Linked DNA regions of Rhinolophus ferrumequinum. The protein of the gene in region 2 interacts with the protein of the main gene of each other region in a biochemical or structural test. Links are inferred from orthologs where the notes say so. Each region holds a gene or a part of one and is shown on either strand. Other genes may lie near its edges. The genes, in order: RIPK1, BIRC2, E2F1 and RAC1.

Region 1 (7,268 bases), on a different chromosome or scaffold from region 2:
TAGTGCAGATAGAGGAAAATGAAAATTAAAGTAATTGTTACTGCTGTTTTATCAGTAATAATAAGTTCTAAATTCTGTTTGAAGCAAGTTTAGTCTTCATTTTCTGTTTAGAAAAAGGCAGTTTTCTACATTTCTTTTTTTTAACATCTTTTTTATTACTTTAAGGTGCACAAAACAATCTAATAGTTAGACATTTATCATTTATGTCCCTCACACAGTGACAACCCCTCTTCCCCCATCTACTACCCCTCTGACGTCACACACAGCCATTACATCTCCACTGTCTCTATTCCTAATGCTGTACTCCACTTCTTGTAACCATATATATATATATATATATATATATATATATACATATATATATATAAAATTGTAGTCAACATTCAATATTGTTCAGCTTCAGCTTCAGGTGTACATTTCTAATTGACCATAATATCTTCGTTACTACTGTACCAACCTGGTGATTACAAGATGCAAATCAAGTACTAAGTCACTCTATATTCCAAAGTTCACTCTGAGCTTTGATTTCTTCAAGTGTAAATTAGGGAAGAATTAATAGTAGTGGTTTAAAGACCAAAAAACTTCTGCAAAGTTGGTTGATTTTAACAGCCTCAGGCTTTGTCCAAGATAAACAAGAGTTCTGAGCAAGGAAGAGACAAAACATCAGCAAGACACAAAGAAATGAACACACACCCACTCCTGTGGGCTTTTGTCAAGTGCTTAAGAGAGAAGGATGTAGCTAATCCTCTTCTAAACCCTGAAAAGATTCTGCAGCATTTCATAAAAGCAAACGCCACTAACCACGGAAGAGGCCTCCACGCGTTACGACATTTGTCCCTTTTGTCAATGCGGCTGTAGACCCTTCTTTTCCATTTGCCAGTTCACGTCTAAGATTACGCATTAATGCTTTTCACTGTTTGCAACCCGCTACGGCCTCAAATGCAACAGTAAAATGTACTTTCAAAAGGTTGGTAAGAAGTCCCAACTAGAGACATCTACTTACCCTATTATGGCAAGGGCATCCATGATTGTACCGGAAAGCTACAGCAATGGAAACCCATCACCCCTACCAAAACAACAAAGATAATAACAACGAAAGGTGTGTTCCTACGTCACACGGTTCTAGTGACCTGAGGTCAGGTCTCTCCACTCTAGTACGGATTTACACCGAAACCTCCCGCAAGCCTGAGAGCGACAGAGACCTGGACAGTTAACAATTCTGCACCTGATTTCCCGGAACTCTGGTGGAGGTTTCTAGGACTGGGTAACATTTCCTCTTTTCTTCTGTCCTCCTAATTTCCTTTAAAACAAAATAAAGATGGGCTCCTTTGGCTGAGAGATATCTGGGATTTTAAAACTGAGTACAAGACCCAGATTGCTGCGGGGCATCCGCTCACCTCGTCCTCCCGAACAGGTGCAGGGGAAATTGGATCCACCACCCGATTTCCGGGAATACGACAGGTATAATGCAGGGACTCTGGTCCCGCTCCCCACACAAGAACGCAGGATACGGTGAGGCCAAAACAGAACACCCACGGAGCCATAGATAGGGGAGTCATACCACTATATTCTCGCTGGCGGCTGACAGAGACACAAAAGCAAACATCCACCAGTACCCCAATGAGAGGGTCTTCCTGCAATCCTGTCTCCCTGGCGGCCAGGGGAGACACAGGAAGTAGGATCAACAGGATCCGCAATCCACAGTCCGCTTGCTAACCACACTGGCTAGCGGCAACCTGCCATCCACTTCTCTGCCAAGCAACCCCCTTGCCAGCATAGCCACGGCAGTAGTATTAACGACTAAGGGCTAACCAGTAACAACTAATGGACACCTAGCCAAGGCAGATGGCCATCTGATTACAGCTGATGGCCATCTACTAACCAAGACAACACCTTTCCACGTGAGGCCCAGAGCCTGGAAAGTGCTCTCCCGGGTCAATCCCCACAACAGCTTTACTCACAGACCAACTTCCGGGAATGCCAAGCGCCCCACCCACTACCCAACTGGCCCACTCTCCGCCCACAGCCCGCCCCGTCAGGAAGCCCCGCCCGCCTGCCCAGAAGCAGACAGAGTCCCAAATCTGGCGGGCGCTGCCACTGCTACCGCGCAGACGCACCCGAGTTATTTACTTTCGTTTCCGCGGCAAACTTCCCCAGGCCTGAGTGAGGAAAGAAGCAGCGGTAGGAATTTCAGGAATGACACCGACTTCGCCGCCACCTCGCTGGGGCGCGCCGCGGGAGGACGCCCGAGTCCTGCGGGGCGGGTCACCGGGTACAGAGCTCAGCGGGCTTGGGGAGACCGGGACGCAGAGTGGCCGCCCCGCCGCGCGCTCACCACGCCCGGCTCTGTCGGCCCCGCCGCGCCGCGCGCGTCCAGCCGAGTGGTTCGCACTCCCTCCCCTCGCTGGGACCGCGCGGTTGGCCCTTGGAGGTGAGGGCCAGCCAGGACCCCTGCGCTCGGGGAGGCCTGTCCGCTGTCCCCGCCGTCAGAGCGACGAATGAGTAAGCGCCGGCGGCGGAGGGGCGTGGACTGCTCGCTCCGCCTCCTGCCGGGGAGGAGGATGGGGAGGGCGCCCGCCCTGCGGCCGTGGGGGCGTCGGTCCCCAAGATCTGTCAGCCAAAGAATCCCTGCTCTACTTATTTGAAAGAGTTGGAAGGCCAAAGAAAAGGTAATGATGCCTAGTCCTAGAAACCTCCGCCTTGAGGGAGAGGCCGCTTAGCTGAGTAAACAGCACTGGGTAGGTCTCCCAGGGACTTCTGGGCTCTGCAGGTTAAGCAGCGCTTGAACCTCAGGCAAATTTACGATTCTCTTACCTCTCTTCACATGTAAAGGGGGGATAATAATATCTGCTCTTTGGGGCTGTGCAGGGAGAAATGTGCTATTATTTTCCAGCCCTTTAAAATGGCTGGGAAATGATTGGGAAATCTTCAAGAAAAATGGGAAAAGCTTGATACAGTTCTGTATTAAAAAGCAAATAATACACAGCGTGATTATATATTATATAATCAAGAGAATGAGAAGCCACAAACTGGAAGAAAATATTTGCAAAATATATATCTGATAAAGAAAAAGACATATCTGATAAAGGACTATTATTCAAAATACATTTGACCCTTAAAAAGCGGTTTTGTACTGCGCGGGTCCACATACAGGGGTATTTTAAAAATCTGTGTTTAAGTGGACCCACGCGGTTCAAACCTGCCTTGTTCAAGTTTCAACTGTATTTTCATGTTTGGAAGGCAGACTTAAGTTATACCCAGATTTTGGACTGCATAGGTTGTGGGCGCCCCACACCCCCAACTCTTGTTCAAAGGTCAACTGTATATTGAAAACAACTCAACAATTAAGAAAAGAAACAACCCAAGTAGAAAATGGGCAAAAGATCTAATAGACATGACAATACAGATGGCAAGTAAGCATATGAAAATATGCTCACCATTATAGGTCATTATTGAATTGCAAATTTGAAAAAATAATAGGTACCACGTTACACACCTGTTAGAATGACTAAAATCCAAAATATTGACAACATCAAATGTTGGTGAGGATGTGGAACAATAGGAATTCTCATTCATTGTTGGTGTGAATGCAAATTGGTACAGCCACTTTGGAAGAAAGTTTGACAGTTTTATTTTTTAAGCTAAAAACAGTCTACCATATGATCCAGCAACCACATGTCTTGATATTCACCAAATGAGTTGAAAGCTTACATCTATACAGAAACCTGCATGCAAATGTTTATAGCACTTTTATTTCTAATTGGCAAAACTTGAATGCAACCAATATTATCCTTCAGTGGATGAATGGGCAAAAAACTTGTGGTCCACCCATACAATGGAATATTATTCAGTGCTAAAAAGAAATGTGCTATCAAACCACAAAAAGACATGGAGGAATCTTAAATGCTTATTTCTAAGTGAAGGAAGGCAATCTGAAAAAAGGTACATAATATATGATTCTAACTGACATTCTAGAGAAGACAAAATTATGGAACCAGTGAAAAAAAATCTGTGGTTCTCAGGTTTTTGTGGTGGGATGCAGGAATAGGTCGAGCACTGGATTTTTTAGGGCAGTGAAATTATTCTGTGTGATACTATAATGGTGAATACAGTATACATTTGTTAAACCCATGAATGTACAAAAGAGTGAAACCAAATGTAAACTATAGACTTTGCTTGATAATGATGTGTCAGTTGGTTAATTGTAACAAAGGTACCACACTGGTGCAAAATGGTGGAAGAGGCTGTGTTTTTTGTTTTGTTTTGGGGAGAGGGTAGAATATGTGTGAACACTCTGCTCTTTCCACTCAGTTTTGCTGTGAAACTAAAACTGCTGTAAACAATAAAATTACACGTATACAATGAAAGAGGCCTATTCATTTAGCAGACATTTCTGACTACCATATGCCAAGCAGGTACTAGATACAAGACTTCCAGGACTTTTTTTCCAAGTCAAGTTGTCCTTTCAGTCTTAGTTGTGGAGGGCGCAGCTCAGCTCCAGGTCCAGTTGCCATTGTTAGTTGCAGGGGGTGCAGCCCACCATCCCTTGCGGGAGTAGAGGAATCGAACTGGCAACCTTGTGGTTGAGAGCCCACTGGCCCATGTGGGAATCGAACCAGCAGCCTTCAGCGTTAGGAGCACGGCGCTCCAACCGCCTGAGCCACCGGGCCGGTCCCAAGAAAATATTTTTAACTAAATGATAATAAATATGTGGATGACTTTTTTTAAGATAAAGCCAACTTCATTCTTAGAGTGATATTTCTGGCTTGTAATGCATATATTATAAGATAGGTTGAAAATCAATTATTTGGATGCTCATCTCAAGTTGCAAAAACAGGAAATTAAACTCAACAAAAATATCGTAAGTTTCTAATAAATCTAAGAAAATAAATCATTGAAATAGAAATCATACAACAGAGGAATTAACCAAGAACAAAAGTTGGCCATTTGTAAAGATTAAAAGTGATAACCCCCCAGCAAGATTGACCCTGTTGACAAAGAGAGAGACCAATATTATCAAGAATGAAACAAAAATTATACAAAATTTAAAAGGATTAAAAAATAAGGGATAATTATTAACAATTTTATGTCATTAATGTTATAATGACAACAGTGTGACATAACGAACTTTTATGTCACTGTAGAGGGACTAGAGAAATTTCTTGAAAAATACAACTTGTCAAAAATGATTGAAGAAGAAATAGAACACTGAAATAGTCCTGTATTGAATGCATCAGTAAAAATCAAAGAAAACTCCACACCCAAATGACTTCCTTGGTAATAAATACTACATAAACTATTCTTAAAGATGAAATAATGCAAATCCTACATAAACTATTCTAGACAAGAGAAAAAGAGAAAACTTCCTAAAAGCTTTTAATATGACCACCTTAACTTTGGTAGCCAAATTTGACAAGGACAGCACCAGAAAAGATAATTATAGTTTAATATATCCCATTAACATGGAGGCAAACAATCCTAAATTAGATATTATCAAGTTGAATCTAGTGACTCTCTAACAGGATAATACATCATGACCAACTAGGGTTTATTCCATACATGCAATGTTAGTTTAACATTTGAAAATCAAAGTAATTCACCACATTACAGAAGAAAAAACATCATATAACCTACTCGAGAAAAAGCATGGATAAAAATTCAAGACTTGTTCATGATAGAAACTCTTAGACAACTAAGAATAGAATTTTCTTAATTAAATAAAGAATATTTACACTAACCTATAGATAACATTATACTTAACCATGAAATACTAAGCACTTACCTTTGCAATTAGGAGCAAGACAAGAAAGTCCACTATCATTACTTCTCTTCAAAATTGTACCAGGAGCTCTGGCCATTGCAACAAGAAAAGAAAATCAAAACATAAAAATATTGAAACGGAAAAAATAAAATTGTCATTATTTTCAGAGGACATAATTATGTGTGTAGACTATTCAAAGGAATTTAAAACAAACCTAAAATTAATAAGTGACTTTAGTAAGGTCATTGGATTCAAGATAGATATTAAAAATCATTTGTATTTCTGTTTCTAGCGAGAAGCAATACAAGATGAAGTTAGAAGAGCATCAGCATTTACAATAGCATTAACATTGCAACTAATACAGTAAAAAATATGTAGGACCTCTAAAAAAAGAACAAAATACTGCCAAGAGACGTGAAAAAAGACCTAAATAAATAAACAGATTTTCCCTCTTTCTGGACTGGAAGACTCAATGTTAAGATGTTAATGCTCCTCAAATCAATTTTTTTTTCTTTTATAGATTTTTTTTTTTTGATGTCATGTCTAAAAACTCTTTATCTCAGCCCAGGTCATAAAGTTTATTCCTATATTTTCTTCTAGAAATTTTATAGCTTTATTTTTTACATTTAGAAGTATGACTTATTTTGAGGCAATTTTTGTATAAAGCATGATGTTTAATTTAGATCAAGTTTTTTTTTTTATTAATACAGATAATCCAATTGTTCTAACAGTTTCTTGTAAAGATTATCCTTTGAATTGCCTTTTCACCTCTGCTAAAACTTGATTGGCACATCCAGTTTCAATTCCATATGTAAACAAAATGGAAGTTATTGCTCCTATAATTACAACAAGAAAAAAGGTAAACAAACTGAAAATCAACCAATCTCTGTTTAGACTCAACAGAGAATTGAAGTCAAAGTGCAAACGTCTACCTTGAAATCTGTAGACAGATCAATATGGGCAATCACAACTAATATCACCATATCTGGAGCAGAAACTGCTGGGACAATGAACTGGTAAAACAATTAAATGGTAATTTTGGTAAATTTCTGGGGAATGAGTTGATTAGCTTGAGAGTGAGAAACTATTAAGGGCTCAGACTTGGGGGCAGGGATGGATACACTTTCATGGATTTTACCATCAGAAATCCCACCAAATTCTCAAGGTAAAGAACCAGTGAAAATCTTCTCATGTTTTTGGAAGTGGGAGGGGGGAAGAAACCATTTTGAAATACATCCCAAGAGTTCAACATATCAAAGACTTGCTCTCCCAGGGAAAAAACTTTACCAGAGTGTTATCTATCTGGGAGAAGGAAAATCAGTCCACTTAAAATGGAAAGGCTGAGATTTAATCATAAGATTATAAAATGCTTTCCCTCCTTCACAAATTACCACTACATCAAAGGGGTTCCAGAATAATAACAGTGGATTAAATGGAAAGACCTACAAGATATCAACTCTGTATGAAAGAGCTCTTAGAAAAACAAAAAAACAGCAGAGGAGAGAGA
Region 2 (7,798 bases):
CTCTTCAGGGTTATAAATCTGGAAGAAAAAAAAACTATTTTAGAAAACTGTATTTTCATTGTAAATAGAATTTATAGACTTCGATTTATTCAGTAAAGTCTAAAAATGACTTACACTTTCAATAATACATCTTAATTCCAGCAATTTGTCACCAAAACATTCTAATTGGAAAAGCTTTTAATGAAAATAAATGCAATATACCCCTTAGCACTGTGTGTGTGTGTGTGTGTGTGTGTGTGTGTATATACACACATATATATGTATATATATGTTATTTTTTAAACATACAACTTTGAAGACAGATAGACATTTCCTCATAGGAAAATATCTTGTCCTTGGTCTCTTCCCCTTTTCTGGTGACAACTTTTAATATTAAGGATAAATCTCTGGCGGTTTGCTAGAGGCAAAAGGGGACAGTGGTGAAGGACACAACATCCTATCAGCAACAGTCCAGCAGTAATTAGACAGTAACATTATTTTTTAATGTCAAGTCTCTCCAGTACTAGGCAAGGAGACCAGTAAGAGTAAAATGCATCAGGAACTCATTAGCATAAATAAATTCTTCAACTCTACAATTCCCTCCCAATTCCAAAGCAACCACAGAAAGCACCTCAAAAACAAAACGTTAGTCCAATGGCCGTGGGAATGTGACCACTTGCACGAATGCTTTCGGTACACCCAGACTTGACAACATATCTTTAAATGATATATTTTTTTTTTGTCTACAAGCACTGTTCTGTGGATTTTTACTCTCTGTATGCAAACAGTAGCTGGATGCGGGGGACATACTGGAAGGGCAAAGGAGAGCAACAATTAGGATTTACCCATTAATTTCCTGGAGTTATTTCTCACACCACACAATAGACTACTTGAAACTATCTTAAATACCGTGTTTCCCCGAAAATAAAACCTAGCCGGCCCATCGGCTCTAATGCGGCTTTTGGAGCAAAAATTAATATAAGCCCTCGTCTTATTTTACTACAAGACCAGGTATTTATGATAATATAATATATAATAAATATAATACCGGGCCTAATATAATACCGGGTCTTATACTAATTTTTGCTCCAAAAGACGCATTAGAGCTGATGGTCCGGCTAGGTCTTATTTTCTGGGAAACACGGTATGAGACACAACACAGTCTTTGATTCAACAAATTAAAGGAATACCCAAGGCTAAACTGAAAACCCTGCAAACACTAAGAGAAAGCATCTTGGTCAAAGTCCAAGGGCCGGAAAACTGGGCGGCGGCCCAGCAGGCACGCAAACAGGTCAATTTTTAAAAATTATTTTCGATTACGTATCTTGGAGTGGAACTTGCGTATTGAAGAAAAGCCTACGCGAGAGCAGCAGCTCACCGCGACCCTCGAATCCCCCGGCCGCACTGCCCGAGGCCCTGTCTGTCCTCCGCCCGCCACAGCTTCTGGGAAAGGAAGCGGCCCCGCGGGCCCCCACCGGCTCGCGCGCCCGGGGCCCGGAAGAAGCACTCACCTCAGAGCAGGCGCAGCACACACGGAAACGGCGCGGTCGCCTGGAGGGCTCCACACACCCGAGAGCAACGGCGCGGACAAGAGATGCGCCCCGGCTGGCTCCGGGTCAACGCTTCCAAAGTCCGCAGCCCACGCCAGGCCCATGCCGACGCACGGTGACGTCAGCGCGCTTATCCGGGGCCTGCGTCACCGCCGCGCGAGGGCGCCGGGGAGTCTACGGTTTTCGGGAGGGGCGCAGACGGTTTCCGTCAGCTCGGTGTTTCGAGTTTTAATCTCGCGGTTTGAGGACTTTTGGCGTTTCCTTCTCTTTCTGTCCCTAACATTCTCCCGAGGGGAACGTGGCAAACCGTGAGCCGAAGAGTTTGACTCTTGGGAAGCCCTGCGGAAACACCCGTGGGCCGGTGGTTTTGCGCATCTTCTCCGCGTTCCGCTCTGAGTTATTTGATCCAACTCCTGGCCAAATTCCTCTCGTGTGACTCCTCCACTCGTCGTAGATGACTGCATTTGAGGATGGAGTCAACCTCGTGGCATTTTTGCTTCAATTAAGTAAACAGTTGTAACCGTTTAAAACAGTTGTAACCGTTTTTCCTCAGAACACAGCTGCCTAACATAAACATTCACAGCTGGCGGTGGAACTGGAAAAAAGCCAAGTGGTGGAAAGTAGAACAGCATCAGAAGATTAATTTTGAAGTTCTGATTTTATAATCTTTAGGGATTGTATTATGAATCTATAACCAACCAATGTAGCTTTCGTTTTTAAACTTGTTTTTCAACTTTGTTTTTCTGTTCTGGAGACATATGCACTAACGAAAAAGTGTCCTTATTTCAAAAGCTCATCGCTAGCAACGTGGACGGTATTTCAGACCAGTCTTCACTCCCAATGAAGTCACATTTTTCTGAATGTGACTCAAATAGAATGTATACGTTCATATATGTGTTTATATATAAAATCGTACGTGAACCACAAAGGAGCCGACTTATCGATGAAGTCTTAAATGGTTCAGTGAATAATTGATAGAGGATTGCAAATAAGAAATCTTGATGTCACTAGTCATGGAGGTTTGTCTTCTCCCACACCTAGTATCACAAAAGCAGTGGCGTGCAGTAAATGTTTGTTGTATTGCAGGAGCGAATTTCTTAATTTATGTTCTGTGAAGACACTCTTTGTCAATAAAATCAGATGCTTTTCCTCGGGGGGAACTCCAGTGGGCAAACATTTCAAAAACTTCCAAATAACAAGCCACTTAATTAGGCATCTGGGGAATTCCAAGACCCTGAACCATTTCCCATTTCCTGTCCCTGTCATTTCTGCCTGCCAGTCAATCACGAAACAGGAGGTCTTCTGTTGCAATGTTAATAGTAAAAAGAAAGTATTCATAACAGTTTATGATACAGAGAAAAGAAATGTCATGGCTCCCAATGACTAAAAACTTTCAAATATGCACAAGAAGAGTTTGGTAGTAGTTTAGTATTTAGTTCAAATCAGTATTTCTCGGAAAGTTACAGAATCTTCCTTATGTATGGGAAAATATATATAGCAAGAATTGTTCATTCCGAATTCGAGATTATTTCAGTTCTTGTCCAGACCAAAAAGTAAGATAATGAATATACTTCAGTATAGCGGAAAATTCGAATTTCAAAAACTCAAAAGCCCTAGATATTTTTCCCAAATATGTATGTAATAACGTTCAGGTATAATAAATCCTGCTATATGATTTTAATCTTGTATAACCTTGCAGTGTGATGTTAAATTTACTCAGTTAATCTTTTTCATATTTTCAGTGTAGAGTTGCCGGTGATTTTTAAAACTAAGGTATATGTCTGCTGAGGTTGCCATCCTAAGACTTTCCACATTTATGTACAAAAAATATTTACAGGAGCCAAGACAATTTTAAAGAAGAAAAGACTGAAGGGACTTGTCCACCAGATAACAAGTTGTATAATAAAGCAACTAAATAAAGTAATTAAGACAGTATTGTATTAGCACAAGAATGTAAAAATAAACAACGGAACAAGATAAGGAGCCACCCCCCCACACAATTTTATATATATATTATATATATAAAATATTTTATATATATATAATTTTATATATATAATATTCATATGTATATAACTTTGATATATGACATTGGTATTACATATTAGTGAGAAAAAGATGAACTAGTTAATAATCCTGAATGAATGGTTATTCTAATGGAAAAGTTAGATCTTGACCTAAACTATTAAAAACATTCCTGGTGGATAAATAAAAGTGAACAGCTTTCATTATGAATCTGGTGACTTAAATGTATTTTGTGAGTTGTAATCCATTGCAGTTGTTGTCATTATTGGTGCTCGTGTTTTTTATTAATCTTAGGCCAATATGAGCTCATTCACATTGGCTCCTGAGTCCTTTTGACATGGCCCTAGTAGTCTTTGATTGTTTTTCAGACTGGTTTTGTACATTTCTTACCTCATGGCTTGGTTCCTTTAGTGGGAAATGGTATTTAAAGACCACAATTTGAATGTTTGTGGTGCTAGTTGTTATTGAGTTATATTGTTTTTATAACCTAATCCATGGACAGAGCTGGATAATATGGTTTTGCTTTGTGTAAATGTACCGTAAAATATATTCAACTAGTACCATAATGTATTCAACTATTTCCCTAATTGATAGACATCTGAGTGGTTTCCAATCTTTTGCTGTTACAAATAGTACTGTAATGAATAGTCATGGACACACATTTTATTTTAGGATATATTCCCAGAAGTTGGATTGTTAGATCAAATGGTAAATTCATAGTAATTTTGCTAGATATGACCAAATATCCCTCCCCCCTCATGGGAGTTAGCATTTTGCAATCCAGCCAGCAATATATGTAAATTCCATTAACTGCACAATTTGATAACAAATTCCAGGGGAGTATGTTATCAAACTTTAAGATTTTTGCCAGTCTATTAGATAAATAGTATTTCAGTATAATTTTAATTTATTTGCTCTATTATGAACAACATTGAAAATATTTTCATATGAATCAATTGCATATATTTTATTTTTAAAAATTAAATATGAAATCGTTAGAATTGATATGTGGTATTGTTAAAAAATTATTCTGATGCTTGTTAAAATGTCAGCAAGTAAGGAGCAACAAGTTGAGACTTTATTCATGCATATTGTCCTAAGAGCATTGCAATACTGAAGAGAGAACAGGCTCAACTCTGAATACAGCAGACAGCTGAGGATTTATAGCCAACTAGCAGAATGAAAGAGTCAGCAGATGTAAAATTAGTTAGTGGAGACATCAAGGGCAGGGAGATTCTTGCTGAGGATAGGCCAAGGGCTTAATAATACATCAAAGGTGAAGGTTAAGGAATTTGGTCAGATATCAATGGTAGGGGAATTTTCACTAACCTGACTTAGCAGGATTCTTGCTAAGACTGAGCTAGGCAGATCAAAGATGGGGTGAGGAGGTGGCAAATGGAGAAGGCACTGACTTAAATCTGTATAACAAACTTTACCTCTGTTAACTGTGCTTTTCCTGGTAGCCTCCCCAGAACTGGCCTCCCATACCCTTATTTCTTTTGTCTTTAGCTGAAGATGGTATTTAAGCCTGTGGTTTAGTCCACGTCAGGGAGTTTACTCATTTTTCCCTGGGTATCTCCCATGTATATGTGAGGTATACATGTTAAACTTTTTTTTCTTTTGCTGATCTTTTATTACAGGGGTCTCAGCCAAGAACTCAGTAGGGTAGAGGGAAAATTATTTTTCTTCCCCACATCAGTATATACCGTGTTTCCCTGAAAATAAGACCTAGCCGGACAGTCAGCTCTAATGTGTCTTTTGGAGCAAAAATTAATATAAGATCTGGTCTTATTTTACTATAATATAAGACCCGGTCTCATAACATAATATAACAACATAACATAATACCTGGTCTTATTTTACTATAAAATAAGACCGGGTCTTATATAAGACCCGGTCTTATATTAATTTTTGCTCCAAAAGATGCATTAGAGCTGATTGTCCGGCTAGGTCTTATTTTCGGGAAACATGGTACTGTAAGGAAGGAAAAAATCTCTTCTTTTGCCCATCTTAGGTTCTCCAGCTGGGGTTCTGTAAATTAGACTGGCCAAAGATAGATTAGCAAGAGAAAAACAAGTTTATTAGCATGTGCATCACACAAGTATAGATGAGAATCCTCAGTGAAGGAGTAACTGAAACAGGTGGTTAGAACTTGGGTTTAAATACCAACAAAGGAGGTTTGGGGCCTTAGGAAAATGACCAGGAAAAGTACTGTATAAATGTAAATTTCCTTTAGAAAAGGAAAACTTTTACCTTGTATTTAGATCTTTTCATGCTGGTTCTCAATGGCCTTTAGCTCAAAATAATCCATATGCCAAACAGGCACATTTTATGGTGGCATGTTCTGGTACCCCTCATTACAAAGATGAAATGTATATTTTCCTAAATTTTTGAAGTATTTCTTTTAAAAAAATAAACAGAACCCAACACATTAAAAATTTGGGGGCCGGCCCGGTGGCTCAGGTGGTTGGAGCTCCATGCTCCTAACTCCGAAGGCTGCCAGCTCGGTTCCCACATGGGCCAGTGGGCCCTCAACCACAAGGTTGCCAGTTCAACTCCTCGAGTCCCGCAAGGGATGGTGGGCTCCGCCCCCTGCAACTAAGATTGAACACGGCACCTTGAGCTGAGCTGCCTCCTGGATGGCTCAGTTGGTTGGAGGGCGGGCTCTCAACCACAAGGTTGCCGGTTCGATTCCTTGAATCCCGCAAGGGATGGTGGGCTACGCAACCCTGCAACTAGCAATGGCAACTGGGCCTGAGGCTGAGCTGCGCCCTCCACAACTAAGACTGAAAGGACAACTTGGTCCTGGAAGTACAAACTGTTCTCCAATAAAGTCCTGTTCCCCTTCCCTAATAAAATCTTAAAAAAAAAAAAAAAAAAGCTTTGAAATTATGGCCACATCACAACTTCCTTCCCCAGCTTGTAGTTACTTATTTACAAGCATTACCTTTCCATCTGTTGAAAAAAAAAATCACTTTATATATGTATACAGTGGTACCTCGGTTTTCAAACATAATCTGTTCCAAAAAACTGTTTGTGACATGTTCGACTTCCAAGGTGTGCTCAAAAACGGATGACATGTTCGACTTCCAAGGTGTGCTCAAAAACGGAAGCATTTATTTCTGGGTTTACGGCGTTCGTAAACCAAAATATTCGTCAATGGAGACGTTCAAAAACCGAGGTACTACTGAAGCTGTCTTAGGACTTTTCTTTTTTTCCATAAAATCTTTTCATTAAGGCTTTGGAACTACAAATAATCTGAAAGCTCACTTGGTTTAATTTATCTTACATACTGAGGACATGACCAAGATAAGTACGGAAAAGACTTCTACAGCTATGTTGTAAAGAATCTGAATGTTCATGACAGCTTTTAAAGTCTGTATCAGAAATAATTAAAAGTTTAATTAGTGAACATTAATCATTTAATGTAAATTAGAATCTTGGCAGTTCTAAATTCAAAAATCAATGTGTTAAAAGTTAGGATGATACAGGTTACGATGATAAATGGGTTAAAGATGGCCCGTGTATATTGACCTCATACTTTTTACTTCTCACAGCAGACTGGGACCATTAGCTCAAAAACTTCCTTGTGCCAAACTCAAATTTTTACACATCTAATAACTTAATGTATCCCAAATAATCACATTTTAATCCATTTTGAGTCTGCCTGCTCTGCATACCCAGTGTCCACTAGCTAAAGACAAACGCTCAGGCTATAAAAGACCTGCAGCTGCTCTTATCCTGACTCAGGGACTGTTGTGCAACAGCAGTCACCTAGACTATATGTGATGTAAGCCTTCTTTCTGGTTCTCCTCTTGCCTAAGAATTCTCTTGCCCTCTTTCCCTTCGTGGTGTTCCCACACCTCTGTCTCTGGAAGTCCTCCTGCTCTGAGGGAATAACCCTTGCATGAGACGGTCTAGCACCATCAAAATAAAGCTTGGTAGTGTGCTACTACCACCTTGTGCTCTTTTCTTTAATTGGCCCCCAACTCCTCAAACTCATAATAAAAGAAAAGACATTATTATTGGAGACAAATAGTCACAAGAATTCATGCTGGCAAACACAAGGCATAGAGTACCTTGTTCTTTCCATATATATTTCCTGTCAAGGGAGGGAAAGATAAAAGACTTTTAGGATCCAAAAAGTTGATGCAGATCCAGGAAAGGATTTTCCTGTGGTTTTCCAAAAAGCAATCATGGGAGAGACTGACCAGTTGAATCTGTAGTAGAATTATTCCAAAGCC
Region 3 (7,663 bases), on a different chromosome or scaffold from region 2:
GGGCTACAGAAACTGGTTCATCCAGACCCTGGAAGACCATGCAACTATCAAGGACTGAAGCAAATCGACACAGAATCCTCTCAAAGACATTGACAAAAACCACGTTGTTTTAGGGCAATGCATATATAAACCTTTTGGGTTAAAAAAAAGCACAAAAACCTTTTTTCCTATGATTCAGTTTCTATTATTATAGAATGTATTTCAGAGGTAATCTATGTGTGCAAGGGAGAACCGTGCGGATGGTACTGTTTGAACGTGGAAATAAATGAAAAAGTACAATTTTTGAAATTTTAGAAAACCAGCCATAACCACCTAAAAATAAAAATAGGTTTTAGGAAAACAGAAATAATGGGTGGGACTGGGAGCCTGCCCCCTTCACCTTTCTAGTCTATTTACTTTTTATAGTTATTATGTATTACACTTTTTTTGTTGTTGTTTTAGTAGCCGTAACAATAGAGTAGAGGTAGACAGGAAGGGCCAGGAGAAATGGCTGAATTGCAGAGCCTGTATGCAGGAGGTACTCAATGAATGCTCACTGGTACAGAAGCTGAGCCTATAGCTTTTTTCAGGGACTGCCCCAAACACCTGTGGACAGGTGAAGGCCATAGCTCATGTGGCCAGTGGTTACCCACAGGTACAAGAATTGGGGTTGCTGGAGGGGAAAATCTGGGCCCATTTTTCTGGACTTCAGCTCCAGGATGGTACCAGCTCCCACACCTGCCTGCTCACCTGTAGAAAATGCCCACTAGTGCTTAAGTACTGTGAAGGCAGAGGCCCCTTACTTGCCTTTGTGCCTACTACCTCGTGGGTACTCACTAAGTCAACTGTTAAATGAGTGGAGTGCTCAGGTCCTTTGAGGCTGCCCCGGACACCCCTCGGGGTGGAGTGGAGGGCATCCTTCCTCGACCCAGTCCTTGGCAGTCCCTCTGAACCTGGAGTTCAGCTCCCTGAGGGCAGGACCCAGCCTTGGGCCTGCTGAGTACATGTCAAGTCAGCTAAATGGAGGATATTTGTTCAGACCCCAAGATGGTAGCCGCAGGGTCAGGCCACTGGGGTATACGAGACAAGCCAAGGGACCAGACCCTGGTACAATTCCCACCCCCTCCGTCACTGATTAGGAGGAAGGGCCCCTGGACTTCCTTCAACCTCTCTTAGCATCTCCAGGAAGTAAGGCATCCCAACAGTTAGGTGCTCAGAAAATGTCTATTGGTCCCACCACTCACTAGCTAATGACTAGGGAAGGTTCCAACATCTCTAGGCCTCAGCTTCCCCATCTATAAAAGGGGAAGGCTGTTGAGAGGGTTAAATGAGTTAATTGGGTAAATGCTTGGCACAGAGCCTGACAAAGAAAACATCTCAAAACAATGGTGCTACTATTGTTGTTATTATTATTAGCATCTTGGTGATTCTGGAAGGGAGGAAGCACTGGGCACCGGGCCAAGGGAGTTAAGGGATGCTTCAGGGACCAGCTGCCACCTAGGCCCCCACCAGCAGTTGGGCCGCTTCCACCTCCTTGCCCTAGGCTCTGCCTCACCTCTCCTACTTGTTCCAAGCCTCCTGCTGAGACCCCAGCCTGCCTGTCCGTGCCCCACGTTCACCCACAGAAAAGGCCTGTCAAACTGGTCTCCCCACCCTGCCCTGCAGCCCACAGGTCCAAACTCCATCCTTTCTCCCCATGTAATTCAGCCACCTCTTCTGGCACCCCCAAATCTGAACTGATCTTGAGCCTCTTTTGCTCAAGGAGCACTTTCTCAAGACATCTCCCCAGGATGTTTACTCTCCCCTGGAACTGGAGACCTCTTCTCCAGCTTCCAGAGGCCAAGCCCACCAGTACCTCCACCGGAGCCCAGGGGTCTGCCAGCCTGATTAATGAGGTTCCATGACAACCAGGGCCTGGGAGGGTGGAGGGTGGCAGATGGAAGGACAGGCAGAGGGAGGGGACCAGCAGCTGGCCCAGCCACCCTGCCATTGCAGAGAAGACCTCCCAGCCAGGAGGCCTGTCCCCAGAGGCCCAGAGGCCCAGGGCTGCACCTGGCAGTGGAGCATCCAGATATGAAAAAGGGCCTCCTCAACGGCTCTTCAGCAGTCTGGCCCCAGGATGCCTCACTTCATCTCCCCAAGCTGCCATACCCATTACCTAGCCACAAGATCTGATGTAAAGCCAGCAGGCCTCAGTTAAAACCCCAGTCCCACCACCTGCAGAGGTGTGACCAAGAGGAAGTCACCTCCCCTCTCTGGGCCTCGGTTCAGATAGGCAGTGACACCAAGCTCACAGCAAGGTTGTGAGTTTTAGCTGCCTTGAAGTCGGCCAGAGGCCTGGCATGCAAGCAGCGCCAGTTGAATACACGTGGGCCATTATGATTACTGCGTCTGACCGGCTCCCGTGAGGAAGCTAAAGCCCACAGCAGAGGAGCAAACAGGGACTGGCCCGAGGTCACTCCGCACCCCGGGGAGGGGCCTGGAGACCCAACCCAGTCTGGGCACCGCCCAGCCCCGGCGCCTCAGCCCACCCCTCCCCCGCCCCAGCTGCCTCCCATCCCAAAACCGCGCCCCGCCCGGGTCTGCATGGGGGTCCAAGCAGCACATTCGGCCCAGTGTCCCTGGTGTCCGTACCGGCGGACGGCCGAGCGCGGGGCGCGGCGCGCTGGGTGTGGGCCGGGGCGCCTGCGGCGTGGCGAAGAGCAGCAGGTCGGGGTCGCAGGGACCCGCAGCGGGCGCTGCAGGGCCAGCGGGGGCCGGTGGGGCGCTGGCGTCCTGCGCCGTGGAGATGATGACGATCTGCGAGGAGTCGAGCAGCCGCAGCGCGCCGGCCCCGAGCAGGGCCTCCAGCGCCGGCGCGCATGGGCCGCCCGCGGGGGCCCCGGCCACGGCCATGGCGCTCACGGCCCGGGCGGCCCGGGTGGCAGGCGGCGGCGGCGGCGCGGGCCCATGGCGGCAGGCCGCGGCTAGGGCTTGATCCCGCTCCGGATCCCGCTCCGCCCCCGGCCGCCGCTGCCTGCAAAGTCCCGGCCACTTTTGCGCGCCAAATCCTTTTTGCCGCGAAAGAGCCACGAGCCGCCGAGCGCTGTCACTATTGGCTGTCCGGTCTGTGACGGAGGCGACGGCGACAGTGGCTATTGGGTACAGCGTGCCGGACCGGCAGTGAAGGGCGGGATGGGGCGTCGGTGCGAGTAAGCGCGGCCAATTGCGGGTCGGGGCGCGCGCAGGCTTTGTCGGGGCGGTGCCAAGAGCGTTCACACTCCCCGCCCCCAGGCGGGACTGCCCCTTTGCGAGGCGTGGTGGCCCCCGCTCCCACCTCGACACACCCCACCCGCTGATCTCTCTAGGAGATCTTTAGTACCGAATGTCCATTGTACGCATCTCACCGTCAGCGTACCTTACATGACCCCCAGACACCCTCCACACACCTGTAGCCCCAACGCCCTCAGCCCAGATCTCTAGAAACTGACCCTCTTTTCTAGGGTCTCAGGCCCATTTCCAAAGCCCTAGCCACATCTCCCATCGTCAGCTTGCCCCACTTTTATCATTTACTTTCAAATCCTATGCCCGCCCTATCACCCAGAACCCAAGCAGAAGGGGCCTCTCAGGAAATGGGGAGGGAAGTCTGGCCCATTACAGCTTGAGGTTTTCCTCCGAGCCCTCTTTCATCTTAGTAGCCAAATGCACAGCTTCTGCTTGAACTCATTCATTCATTCATTATTCATTCATTATTATACATTCATTCACCCAAGCGTGCATTCACTCATTCAACAAACGTTTTGAGAGCCTGCTCTGTGCCTCATTCTTAGTTCATACCCTGAAGGGCTCATAGTCTAGTGAACAAGGGAGAGGGAACAGAGAGGTAACACATGTTTGCAATATGATGAAGGATTTCCACCATTAAAATAACTCCATGTTAATCTCACAAAGGGAAGAGGTGAGGATGCTGAGCATGAAAATGTATTTCATAGTCCCTGGGATCTCTCCATCAGCCAATATCATTGCTCCGGTCAGCTGATTTGACCAATATTGTCCTCTGTGCCAGGCCTTGTGCCAGCACTGAAGGCAGAGATGTGTAAGACTTGATAATTTTAATGAACTTGCCTGCCACCTGGTGGGGATGTGCCACACACATAAAAAGTAGCTAAGACACAAACAAGAATCAAAGCGGTAGGCCCAGTATAAACATCACTTCCTCCAGAAAGCCCTCCAGAATTACTTCCTCTATTGCTGGATGCTGCCTCTGTTCCAGCACTGACCACACTCAGTTTCTCCATCTGCCTCCCCTACTAGACTGGGAACTCCAACAGGGCCTGAGCACAGCTGAAGCAGGTGCTGAGAGGAGTTATGAGAAAGGAAACAGGCTGATGATGCCAGAGGCTATTTAGAATGCAACAGGAGGCCCTGGTTCTCCAAGAGCCGTCTTAGGGTCCTGGTTTCAGACTCACCTGGGTGCTTGTTCACTTTGGGCCTAACCCCACCCCCTGCCCATTTAGTATCTCTACGTGCACATTTTCACAAGCAATCCTCCATCCCCATTCCAGGGGGTTTTTATGCACATTCACATTTGAGAACAAATTGGTATACCTGTATAACCAAAATGTGTGGTGATGCCTCAAATTACAGCCTCTTGACGACACTTCTCAGCTTCAGTTCCTCATCTGAGATAGGGATGAAAAGCATAAGGGATCTGAAAATGTTTTATGAACTATAAGGTGGTTCAGGAACACAGGAGTTTCCTAAACAGTTTGTGAAATTACTCACTGCAAATCCTAGACTGTCAGCACTAGGAGGGACCAGAGACTAGTAGCCTCTTGCTGTACAGATGGGAAAGTTGAGGCCCATGAGGGACCTGTAAGCCAGCCAGTGATAGAATTTGGCCTACACTGGATTACCAGCCCTGGGGTCAGCCTGTCCCCCTTCTCCTCCCCAGACAGAAAAGCTACCATTAGAATGGTAGGTCTCATTTGAAAAAATCAAGCCAGACCCTGACAGAGGGTGAGAGAAATCAGCAACATTCCTGTTCCAGATGGACTTTCTTTTCTTTACATCTTCCCAAAGAGTCTCCATAACAATAATATTCACTTCATAAAGCACTCTCATACCCAACAGCCATTCAACGAACATTTATTGAGCACCTGTCACGTGCCAAGCACTATACTGGTTGCTGGAGAAGGAAGACATTGTTATTTTTATCAATTTAATGATGGGGAAACTGAGGCCCAAAGGGCATGAGCTTACCTAGCAGATGAAAAGGCTATTGTTTGGGCTTGGAGAGGCCAAAGCCAGAGGTTTTCCAAAGTCCTGTCCTCCCCAAAATATTCAAGTACACAACCTCCCAGGTAGAAGCAGGTGCCGTCCTTCCCACAATCCTTCCTGTCCTGCTCAGCGGAAAGGAGTGAAGACCAGAATTCCGAGTGTGCAATCAAGGAAGAGATAAGGGCCTTCTGTATTTATTAATACCCACTTGAAAGCAGCAAAGGCCTGACTGATGGGGCCCCTTGGCCCCAAGCCTGGCCAATCTCGATAACGTTGTTCTCTGTGTCAAAAGTTCTCCTCAGGCTGGTAGGTTTTCAAAAAATCCACACTTACTGGGCAGCCACTTTGATTGATGAGCTCCTTTTAACCTGAGAATCCCATAAGTGAAGCTTGTTTATCAACGTTGTGCAGGAAGGAGGCTCAGAGAGGGGCACTTGAAGTTCAAGGTCACACAGCAGAAGTGAGATGGGAACTTAGCCTGTTCCGCTGCAAAACCCAGGGCCTGCTCTTTATACCCCACCACCTTCTGTAAATACCCCAAGAGCCAAGCTCAGGAGGCTCAGGGCTGTCAAGATTATAATGTGTGCTTTCCAAAAGGTATTATAATGTATATTGGCTTAATTAGTAGATGTTTACCCCCATTACTACCTACACCAACTCCTTACTTTAGAGGAGTCCAAAGCGGTGGAAGCTCCTGAGCCCATGATCCTTTGCCTGGAGATATCTTTCCCTTAATTCTTTCCAAGAGGCAGGATGGTGTAAACGTGATAGTATGTGCTTGTAAATCAGGGGGATATAAATAGGAACCTTGGTCTGTGTGACCTTGGACAAGTCAATTCACTTCCTCTGAGCCTCATTCATTCCACAGATATTTGTTGAATACCTCCTATGTGTGAGGCATTATACTAGGTGCTAGGGAGACAGCTGGAAGCAAAACAGACTTATCTCTGATACCTGGAGCTCATAGTCCAGTGGAAGAGTCAGAATTATTTCTATGGACCTGCGCAATATGTTCGTTAAGTCTGACAAATGACACAATAATTCAAAGCTCTTTATTCCACATACATTCTTAGCTTCAGGGGAAAAACAATCTCCGAACATGAACATCCCATCATTATGAATGCATAATTGGGAGAAATTCTGCGGTGACTTAATTTTATTAAGGGGCACAGAGACATCCATTGTTGAGTTCAGGAAGTTTTATGTCTGCAACATCACATTTGTCTCAAATGATCCTTCGTTGCTACACTAAATTCTCTGCTTGACTGACGGTTTACTGTCCCTGGAGATATTGTCACCATGCCAGTTCTGGCTGTATCTGAACACAGACCACTTACCCATCTGATAGGCCGTCTATCATAGGAGTAAGCCTTGGGAGTCAGGCAGACCCCAACTGTGTAGCTTGGCTAGATGACTTTGAGTAAGTGATTTACCCTCTTGAAGAGCTTTGCTTGCCCCATCCGTAGAACAAGGGGCAAAGGCTCCTTTACAGGATGGGTCTCAGGGTTGAATGAGAAAAGAGGACAAACAGAGTTCGCAAACTGGCCAACATGTATGATTTAATTTGCCCACGGAGTATTTTTTTCTGAATTATGAATTAGTTAAGAAAATTTTTAATTTAGAAATGCTATACAAAAATTCAAATATCTGGCTTTCTTTTAAAACCGTAACATCTGGCAATATCATATTTCCCCAAAAATAAGACCTAGCTGAACAATCTGCTCTAATGCGTCTTTTGGAGCAAAAATTAATGTAAGACTCGGTTTTATATTATAATATAATACAAGTGCTTGGCCGTCAGTCGGTCAGTATGTTTAGCGGGATGTGGGCCAGAGAGTCTTATTTTACTATAAGACCGTGTATATTATATTATACCCGGTCTTCTAGTAAAATAAGATCGGGTCTTATGTTAATTTTTGCTCCAAAAGACACATTAGAATTGATTATCTAATTTTGGGGGAAACGGTACTAGCCAGACCATCATGGTGCTGAGCAGTTGCTGTGCCCCATTTCGCCAGAGCCTTGACCCTCCAGGCCACCATAGTCCTGCCTGGCTTGCCTCACCCGGTGACCTTACTTGCTTTGCCATTCCAAGTATCTGAGTTTGCAATCTCTAATGCCTATGCCTTGCATAGAGTAAAGAAACGCTCAATAAACATTAACTACTATTAGTAATATTACTGCAAAGGAACCAATGGGCACCAGCACAGCTCCTCTGCTTTGCAAGTAACTAAAGAGAAGATGGGGATATGGAAGAGTAGGAAAAGTGGGCATTTATGCTGAAACAGGAAACATGGGGCGTAGTGCCAGCCAACAGCTGCCTGGCTGTGTGGCCTTGGCCAAGTACTTGGCCATCAGTCAGTCAGTATGTTTAGCGGGATATGGGCCAGAGAGTCAAAGGTCCAATGTAAGCAAATAGGACTTA
Region 4 (7,568 bases), on a different chromosome or scaffold from region 2:
ACACACACTCCTATAAAGATGACATCATGGAAGGCCATTTACCTTGCTCAAGGAAAGAAATTCCTGGACAGCAATATCTGTCCTAAAGGCTAAAGGGACCACTAGCCCCATCTGGACACCAGTTTCTATAGTGAGAGAAATGAGGGCTTCAAGTCATTCACTCCCAGCCTTCTAATAAACCAAAGCCAAAACAACACTATTAAAAATGGTTCTTTATCAATATTTGAATGTGAGATGCTGTCTTACCTAAGTGAAGTTGAGAGAAAATCTCGGGGCAGAGGTCACCCAAATAAAAGTGACAGACCCTGTGTTTAGGATCGACTGTCTTAGAATTAAAAAGTACCAAATTTATGTCATATTTTACACTCAATGCCAAACTGCCACATAGGAAATATCCATTAGAAGAATATAGGCTAATTGACCCTAATTATAACATGACATAGCCTTTAACCATAATTCCCAAGAATATTTTCAAAGGAAGCTTCCAATTTGTGGAACCTCGGTTATTTTGCCTTCACTGCTTAACCTGCCCTTAACGGCCTGAAAGTCCACACAACATTAACTGATTTCTCAGCCCCACAAAATTTAGGTCCACAGTTAACAGCTTTAACAAATTTTTTTTTTTTTTTAGATTTTATTGGGGAAGGGGAACAGGATTTTATTGGGGAACAGTGTGTACTTCCAGGATTTTTTCCAAGTCAAGTTGTTGTCCTTTCAGTCTTAGTTGTGGAGGGCGCAGCTCAGCTCCTGGTCCAGTTGCCGCTGCTAGTTGCAGGGGGCACAGCCCACCATCCCTTGCAGGAGTCGAACCGGCAACCTTGTGGTTGAGAGGATGCGCTCCAACCAACTGAGCCATTCGGGAGCTCACAGCAACAGCTCAGAACTGACAACCTTGTGGTTGAGAGCCCACTGGCCCATGTGGGAATCGAACCGGCAGCCTTTAGCATTAGGAGCATGGAGCTCCAACCGCCTGAGCCACCAGGCCAGCCCCAACAATTTTTGAATAAAAGAACATTCTAACTGTATCACCAGGAATTTATTTTATTTGGGTAAAAGCAGAAAAATATTTTTCGTATGTAAAACTAGGTATCTAAGTTTTGCACTGAAGTAATGTTTGCTACCTATTGTCCCTTATTTTAAATAATACAGCTGAAACTTTTTTTGTAAAGGTACATTTCACTAATATCGCTCAGCCCTAGTCAACATCAATGTCAAACACAGTGTTACAAAATTCAAAAAACTCAAGTCCAGAAACTATTTTCTGCCTAATACTCCCTTTCCAGAGCCTAGCAGCGCCTCAGAGTAACACAGACAGCAGTCCTAATAACACGCCGCTGGCGCGTATAAAGCGTTCAGCAGGGGCCCGCACGGTGAGGCACTTCACTTCCAGCTGAATCGTCACCACTTCCCTTTGCCACACCTCTCCTGGGGGATGAGTGATATGCTCAGGGTTTCCCCAGAAGTGGTGGGGTGTGGGTCTGAAGGAACCATCCAGATCCCATAGCAGGCATTCAACAAGTATTTGACTAGATAAGCCAATCGGAACAGTAGAGGTCCACTCCGTAGGTTATGAACTAAATATATCTGCTATGCTTATGTTTTAGTTTTAGAAATTTTCAAATAAGAATATTACTGTGGCTAGATACTGAATTATCAGTAGTGACTTTTTTTTTCTTCCAGAAACAATTTCAAATGTCTTACTTTGCAATGACCGACATAAGCTGAGAATTCATAAACTCACTGAGAGGTATAAAAGCTACACCAGTCCTAACGACACGACTGGGGAATATTAATCAAAAGGCACAGTGATGCCAGAACTCTTCGTCCGACTTCACCCGACTCCAAAAATGTACCAGTTGCACTCTGACTTGGACGAAACTGGTAGTAATTCTTGGAGCTTCCCTGTTTACGCTTAACTACTCGAGCAATGCTGAGACACAATTTTGCTCGGATTACAATGAGATTGTTTCTATGGGAGAAAAACAACTGCATAAGACAAGTTTTGTCTTCCTCTAGGGCCTGTAACCACCACAGACAGTAATGAAAAGAAACGCCTTGAGTCACAGGGCCGCTCGGCTCAGGGAGCCTGTTCTGCTACATCCCATACCTAACGCAAGAAGCGAAGGCCAATTTTTTTTTAAGGACCACACCACGCTCGGAGGAAAGAACCGTCTCAATCACACCCAGCTCCTCGCAGCTAGAACCTTAAAACTTTCTCCACGGAAAGAGCAAAAATAATCATTTAAAAAATCCGAAAAGTGGCGAAGTACCAAGTGGAAGATCCCCCCTGGCAAACCAGCGTAGGGTCCCCAAAGCAGCTCAGGCCAATTCTGGTCACTGACGACCGACCTGAGCGCCGGGACGCACGGAAGCTCCCGATGGGGCTCGAGAGGTTAAATCTAAGCCAAGAAAAGGTCCTTTTAAGAGAAAGGCAACTCTCTAAGCCCACGTAATCCACAGGCAAACGAAGGAGGCTGGCGGCGCGGCGCCAGGTAAGTTCGGCCCCGCGGTCAGCGGGCGCGGGGAGAAAGCGGAGGGTGGAGTTCACTTTTCCCTCCGGCCGCCGTCGGCGATTCCCTCCCCCACCAAAAAGGGAGAGAAAAAGCCAGAACCCGGCGCGCGCCGCGGGGTCCCAGGGAGGGCTGGCGGCTCGCGCCCCCCGCCCACGGCCCGGAGAGGCCCAGGCCCCGCGCGCGCCCGCCCGCCCGGCCCCCGCTGCGCCCCCAGAACCGTGCGGCCCCGGCCCCCGCCCCCGGGCCGCGCACTCACCCGTCTCCCACCACCACACACTTGATGGCCTGCATCTGGGCCGCTCGCTGGGCCGCGGAGGCGGCGGCCGGGCGCTGAGACGAGAAGCGGCGGGCGCGGGGCGCGGCAGGCGGGCGGGCGCGCGGCTGCGGGCGGCAGGGCGCGGGGTGCCGGGGCCGCTGTCCACGCCGCCTCGCCCTCCGCCAACGGGAAGCCGAAGCCCAGCAGCGGCCACCACCCAAAGCTGGGGAAAACTGCAGAGAAACAGGAAATGGCCGCTCCACTCACATCCGGCCGCCCCTCCCCCGCGCCCGCGCCGCGGCTCCCAAGCTCGGGGCGGGGCGCTCCTGCCGGCGCGCTCACCGGCTCCTCCCGGCTTCGGGGACGCTCGGGAGCGCTCGGCTCCGGCGAGGCGAGCGAGGCGCCATGTTTGCGCGCAGACGGCGCGGTGCGGTCGTGGCCTGCGGGCGTCGGCCTGGGGAGGGGCGCTGGGTCCGAGGAGCCCTGAGTCCCAGGGGCCACGTTCTCGGCGCCCCATCCTGCTCCTGCCCGAGGCCCGCAGAAGGGCGTTGGTCTGTCTGTCCATCCTGTGTGATGACCGTAACTTATGTGATGACAGGCACTTCTAGAAAATTCGGAACCCAAAACTATAAAGACCATAGGCCGTACCATTATTCAGACACAACCGAGGTATATTAAGCCCCAAATGTGCTGAATTTTCTTCCGTTGCGTATGCATTTTCTATTATTTTTAATGCGTTGAGCACTTACTATATCCTATGCTTTCGTTGAACAGAAATTTTAACTTCCACGGCTGAAAGTCATTTTAAAAGAAAGGGTTTATTGGGTCATTGCTAGCTAGAAAAAAAGATGACCAGGGCCCGGGGCATATATTCTAAACCACCAGCAGCCGCGCCAGGTGGAGAAGGCAACATGGTGTCAACCGGCTTTTTTAGGGAAACAGTTTGGGGAAGAAAGATGTAGGTTGTTTTGAAAGAATTTACACTGGCTACAGATAAAGCTGGTGGGAGAAGGTGCTGCAGAGCTAGCTCTAGGGTAGGCACTGAATCCATAAGGAAGAAGCATTTGCTTCTTTGGATTAGTGGTGGGCAACAGTCTAGAAAGTTCATACTTAAACAAGAAGTGGACGGTTTGATGGCACCTGGCTATTATGTCTTTTAGATAATTGTGGAAATAGCCACCTGGAACTTAAAAGTTCCAACATACACTAAGGAATGTGAGCAGTCTTGTTAGCTGGCCCCCAGCTACTAACAAGCTAACTGTTCTCTTTTGCTCACTTTCCAGCCGGTTATAATTTAATTTGTAGCATCGCAGAATTTTTCTCATCACTTAATACCAAGTTCTGGAGATAATGTTCAGTTAGCAGACCATTCAAGTGCCAATGTTTTGGTGTATTTCTGCTCAGTTGTTTCTTTATATGCATAATGAACATGTTTTAAACAGCATTGTGAAGTCATACTGAATCATTAGAACATTTTTAATGGCTGCTTACTAGTCATTCCATTATGTACATGTACCATAATTTAAGGATTCCTCTATTATCCGAGGGTTGAGTTGTCCCCATTTGACAAACAATGCTGGGATGAACATGTTTGTGCAACGATCTTTATAGCTTCATTTCTTTAAACCACGTTCCCAAAAACGGAGTTACTGGCTTAATAGAGGGTGAGTGTTTTTAAAGCTTTGGTACTGTTGTTACATTGCCCCCCCCCCGCCCTCCCGCCCCCCCCCCTGCAAGCTTCACACTCCCCTCAACCCTCTGTGAGAGTGGACCATCCAGGGGAGTTGCTTTCCACTGATATTTTCATCTTTTAGGCCTTCTCTTTGTATAATTCACTCTGTTGCTCTGTATTGTAACAGTTTTATGAAATCAGGCTTTTTCTACACAAATTTTTTTTAACAGTTCCTTTTTTTTTTGTTTTTTGTCTTGCAATTATTTCAAAAGAAACGTGTTCCCAGGGCAAAGGGCATCTCCTTTTTACTCTGTTCATAAAGTTCACAACTCCCTTAAAAAGGAGTTGAAATTTCAAGTGCAACAGTGTCCCCTTGGCTGATAAAAATTTCCTGTGAATCTATGACAAACCTAAACTAAGTGTAATTACCTTCATGTCTTTGGACCAGAGGCAAATAAAAGGGTAGGCCTCAGGTCAATAGTTTAATTCAATTGTACAAACATTTGCATGCTGCGGTTGCATTATGGCCTGACAGTAAATGAACCAGATAAGGACATAGTTGCTAGAATAGCAAGCCCACTGTGCTCAGTACTATATGTGGGGTACAAATACGGTGTTTATCAGGAAGCCAAAACTGTGTTCACTCTAATAAGGCTTTCATCAAAGAGATGAGACTTGAAAGATGGGTCTGTGGAGGATTTTTGGTGGGTCTTGATGGAGTAAGAAGAAAAGAGTTTTCCACAGAGAGAGCGAAATCCTGGAAGTTAAAAGCTGAGGACTGTCTTCAGATGGGACACAGAGGGAACTAAACACTTGGCTGTCCCAGGTCTAGAATCTAGAGTAATCAGAGGCTGGATTGCAGACAGCCTGTGAGTATGGCCTTTATTATGACAGGACATGAATTGTTCAGCCAATACATGACACAACCACATTCAGATGATTATTTCCATAGATTGATAAAGTGAAAGTCCACCATATTAGACGTTGGACTGTGACTATAAAATAAAGCGAATGTACAATCCACATGTGAAAATTAGCTTTAAGCTAAAACTTAGTTAACTTAAAACTTTCCCAAGTTTGGCTTTGAGTGTTTATTGTAATGTTATCCATGGTGACCAATGGTCCAAAAAAGTTAAAGTTAAAACTAAATAAGCAAATATTAGACCATGTGTGTTTCTGAATATGCTACATAGTTATTTCTCAAGTGCCTCTTTTATATGCAATCATATAGCCTACTTAGTTCCCTTATTCAAGGTCAATCATTTTTTTCCGTTCCAGTCACTGTCTAGGTGTTGGAAGTGTGAAATGAACAAGAGTTCCCTGCCATCAGGGAGTCTGCCTTCTAGCTGGGGAGATGCTTCATAGGTAAGTGAACATATAGTATTCATTTCCAAGTTAACATGATGCATTACATGCAAGTATCTTATTTCACTTGCACCCAAATCACCACTAGAACGTCAGGAAAGGGATATAAAACAAAACAAAACAAAACAAACATAATCCTAGAACAGAAAGTATAGAAAAAATAGATACTGGAAGCTGGAAAGAGGGGACAGACTGGTTGAAACTGATTTAGCCATCTGGACTAGCAGTGGGAAAGGCTGATCAACACCAGTCCTTCACCAGAGAATCACCAAAGGGCTTCTCTGGGTACCTGTGGCACCCGGTACCTGTGGAAGTGGGGGTGACGGGAGAGTGGGGTGAGGAAAATGGGACGAAAGCTAAGAAGCAGCCGCAGGCAGTCTACATGGCTTCTTATCATGTACAGGCAAGGTGGCCTCCTTCCTCCTCCCTTACAAAATACTAGAGGTTCCTCTCTAGAGAAGGTAAATCAGAGAGTATTTGGAGGGGGAGACACAGGGCCTGGAAAACAAAACAAAGGGATTTAGGAGGCTGGGCTGAATCTGGAACCTCTCGATCCCCTTCCTTCATGGCTCCTGAAGCCATTTAGAGAAGGAGGGTACAGACTGGAAGGCAGACCCCAACATGGGAAGGGGTCTCCAGGGAGCCCCCACTCCTTCAGAGTGTCCCATTAACTCTTAGTTTCCCACTTCTGATCAGCAACAGACAACCATGGATTAAAAGATATATGAGGGAAACTTGCAGACTGGAAGCTAGAACTCAAAATAAATAAAGTTGAGGGGAAAAAAAAACAGGGCAGGGAGAAGGAAACTTTATTATTTTTTTTTTTTAGATTTTTTTATTGGGGAAGGGGAACAGGACTTTATTGGGAACAGTGTGTACTTCCAGGCCTTTTTTCCAAGTCAAGTTGTCCTTTCAATCTTACTTGTAGAGGGTGCCGTTCAGCTTCAAGTTGTTGTCCTTTCAGTCTTAGTCGTGGAGGGTGCAGCTCAGCTCCAGGTCCAGTTGCCGTTTTCTAGTTGCAGGGGGCACGGCCCACCATCCCTTGCGGGACTCGAGGAATTGAACTGGCAACCCTGTGGTTGAGAGCCCACTGGCCCATGTGAGAATCGAACCGGCAGCCTTTGGAGTTAGGAGCACAGAGCTCCAACCACCTGAGCCACTGGGACGGCCCCCAAATTTTTTTTTTTAAGGCTATTAATATCTTCAGATAAGATAATTCATCCATGAATAAGAAGGGAGCGCTGGTTTTTAAAATTTTTTAAAAAGTTCAGATGATTTTTTAAAAAAAGAACAACTCGGAAAAGCATGCTAGCAGGAAAAACCACAGAGGGTTTGAAACATCAAATTGAAGAAATCTCAGAAGACAAAAAAGCCATGGAGAGATAGAAAATAGAAAACAATGAGAGCATTAAGGAAGCAGCCTGGGAGGCCCAATCATCCTAATAATATCCTATAATAGAAAAGGAAGAACAAAAAGAAAGAAAAAGCAAAGGAGGAAAACATCCATGGATATACTCAAGGAAATTTCCCAGTCCTGAAGGGAAAGTGCCAGCCCAGTGAAGGAAAATAGACCCACCCCTAAGTACACCACTGTGCAACTGCAGAGCAATGGGAAGAGAGAAGATCCTACAAGCTCCCAAAGAGAAAACACAAGTCATAAGGAAACAGGAAATAGAATGGTTTCAGGTTTCCCAACAGTTACACTGGTGGAACATTGCCTTTAAGATTCTGAAGAAAAATGGTTTTCAACCAAGAATTCTAC

What was found.
Region 1: of the proteins of BIRC2 (region 2) and RIPK1, one has a biochemical effect on the other in vitro, tested with the Homo sapiens proteins (6 studies listed by BioGRID, with this or other methods). The link is inferred for Rhinolophus ferrumequinum from reciprocal best matches to the Homo sapiens genes BIRC2 and RIPK1.
Region 3: the proteins of BIRC2 (region 2) and E2F1 form a complex in vitro, tested with the Homo sapiens proteins (2 studies listed by BioGRID, with this or other methods). The link is inferred for Rhinolophus ferrumequinum from reciprocal best matches to the Homo sapiens genes BIRC2 and E2F1.
Region 4: the proteins of BIRC2 (region 2) and RAC1 form a complex in vitro, tested with the Homo sapiens proteins (2 studies listed by BioGRID and IntAct, with this or other methods). The link is inferred for Rhinolophus ferrumequinum from reciprocal best matches to the Homo sapiens genes BIRC2 and RAC1.

The regions. Positions count from the first base shown.
Region 1 is NC_046292.1:90,729,982-90,737,249, forward strand, and holds the start of RIPK1 (receptor-interacting serine/threonine-protein kinase 1), read right to left. Parts: upstream 3,002-7,268; 5' UTR 2,131-3,001; exon of another isoform or gene 2,118-2,130; intron 1,926-2,117; exon of another isoform or gene 1,004-1,925; intron 1-1,003. UniProt on the Homo sapiens protein: Serine-threonine kinase which is a key regulator of TNF-mediated apoptosis, necroptosis and inflammatory pathways.
Region 2 is NC_046294.1:71,879,812-71,887,609, reverse strand, and holds the start of BIRC2 (baculoviral IAP repeat-containing protein 2), read right to left. Parts: upstream 3,017-7,798; 5' UTR 1,491-3,016; intron 19-1,490; 5' UTR 1-18. UniProt on the Homo sapiens protein: Multi-functional protein which regulates not only caspases and apoptosis, but also modulates inflammatory signaling and immunity, mitogenic kinase signaling, and cell proliferation, as well as cell invasion and metastasis.
Region 3 is NC_046306.1:21,283,729-21,291,391, reverse strand, and holds the start of E2F1 (transcription factor E2F1), read right to left. Parts: upstream 3,021-7,663; 5' UTR 2,875-3,020; coding exon 2,614-2,874; intron 1-2,613. UniProt on the Homo sapiens protein: Transcription activator that binds DNA cooperatively with DP proteins through the E2 recognition site, 5'-TTTC[CG]CGC-3' found in the promoter region of a number of genes whose products are involved in cell cycle regulation or in DNA replication.
Region 4 is NC_046307.1:41,100,425-41,107,992, reverse strand, and holds the start of RAC1 (ras-related C3 botulinum toxin substrate 1), read right to left. Parts: upstream 3,002-7,568; 5' UTR 2,805-3,001; coding exon 2,770-2,804; intron 1-2,769. UniProt on the Homo sapiens protein: Plasma membrane-associated small GTPase which cycles between active GTP-bound and inactive GDP-bound states.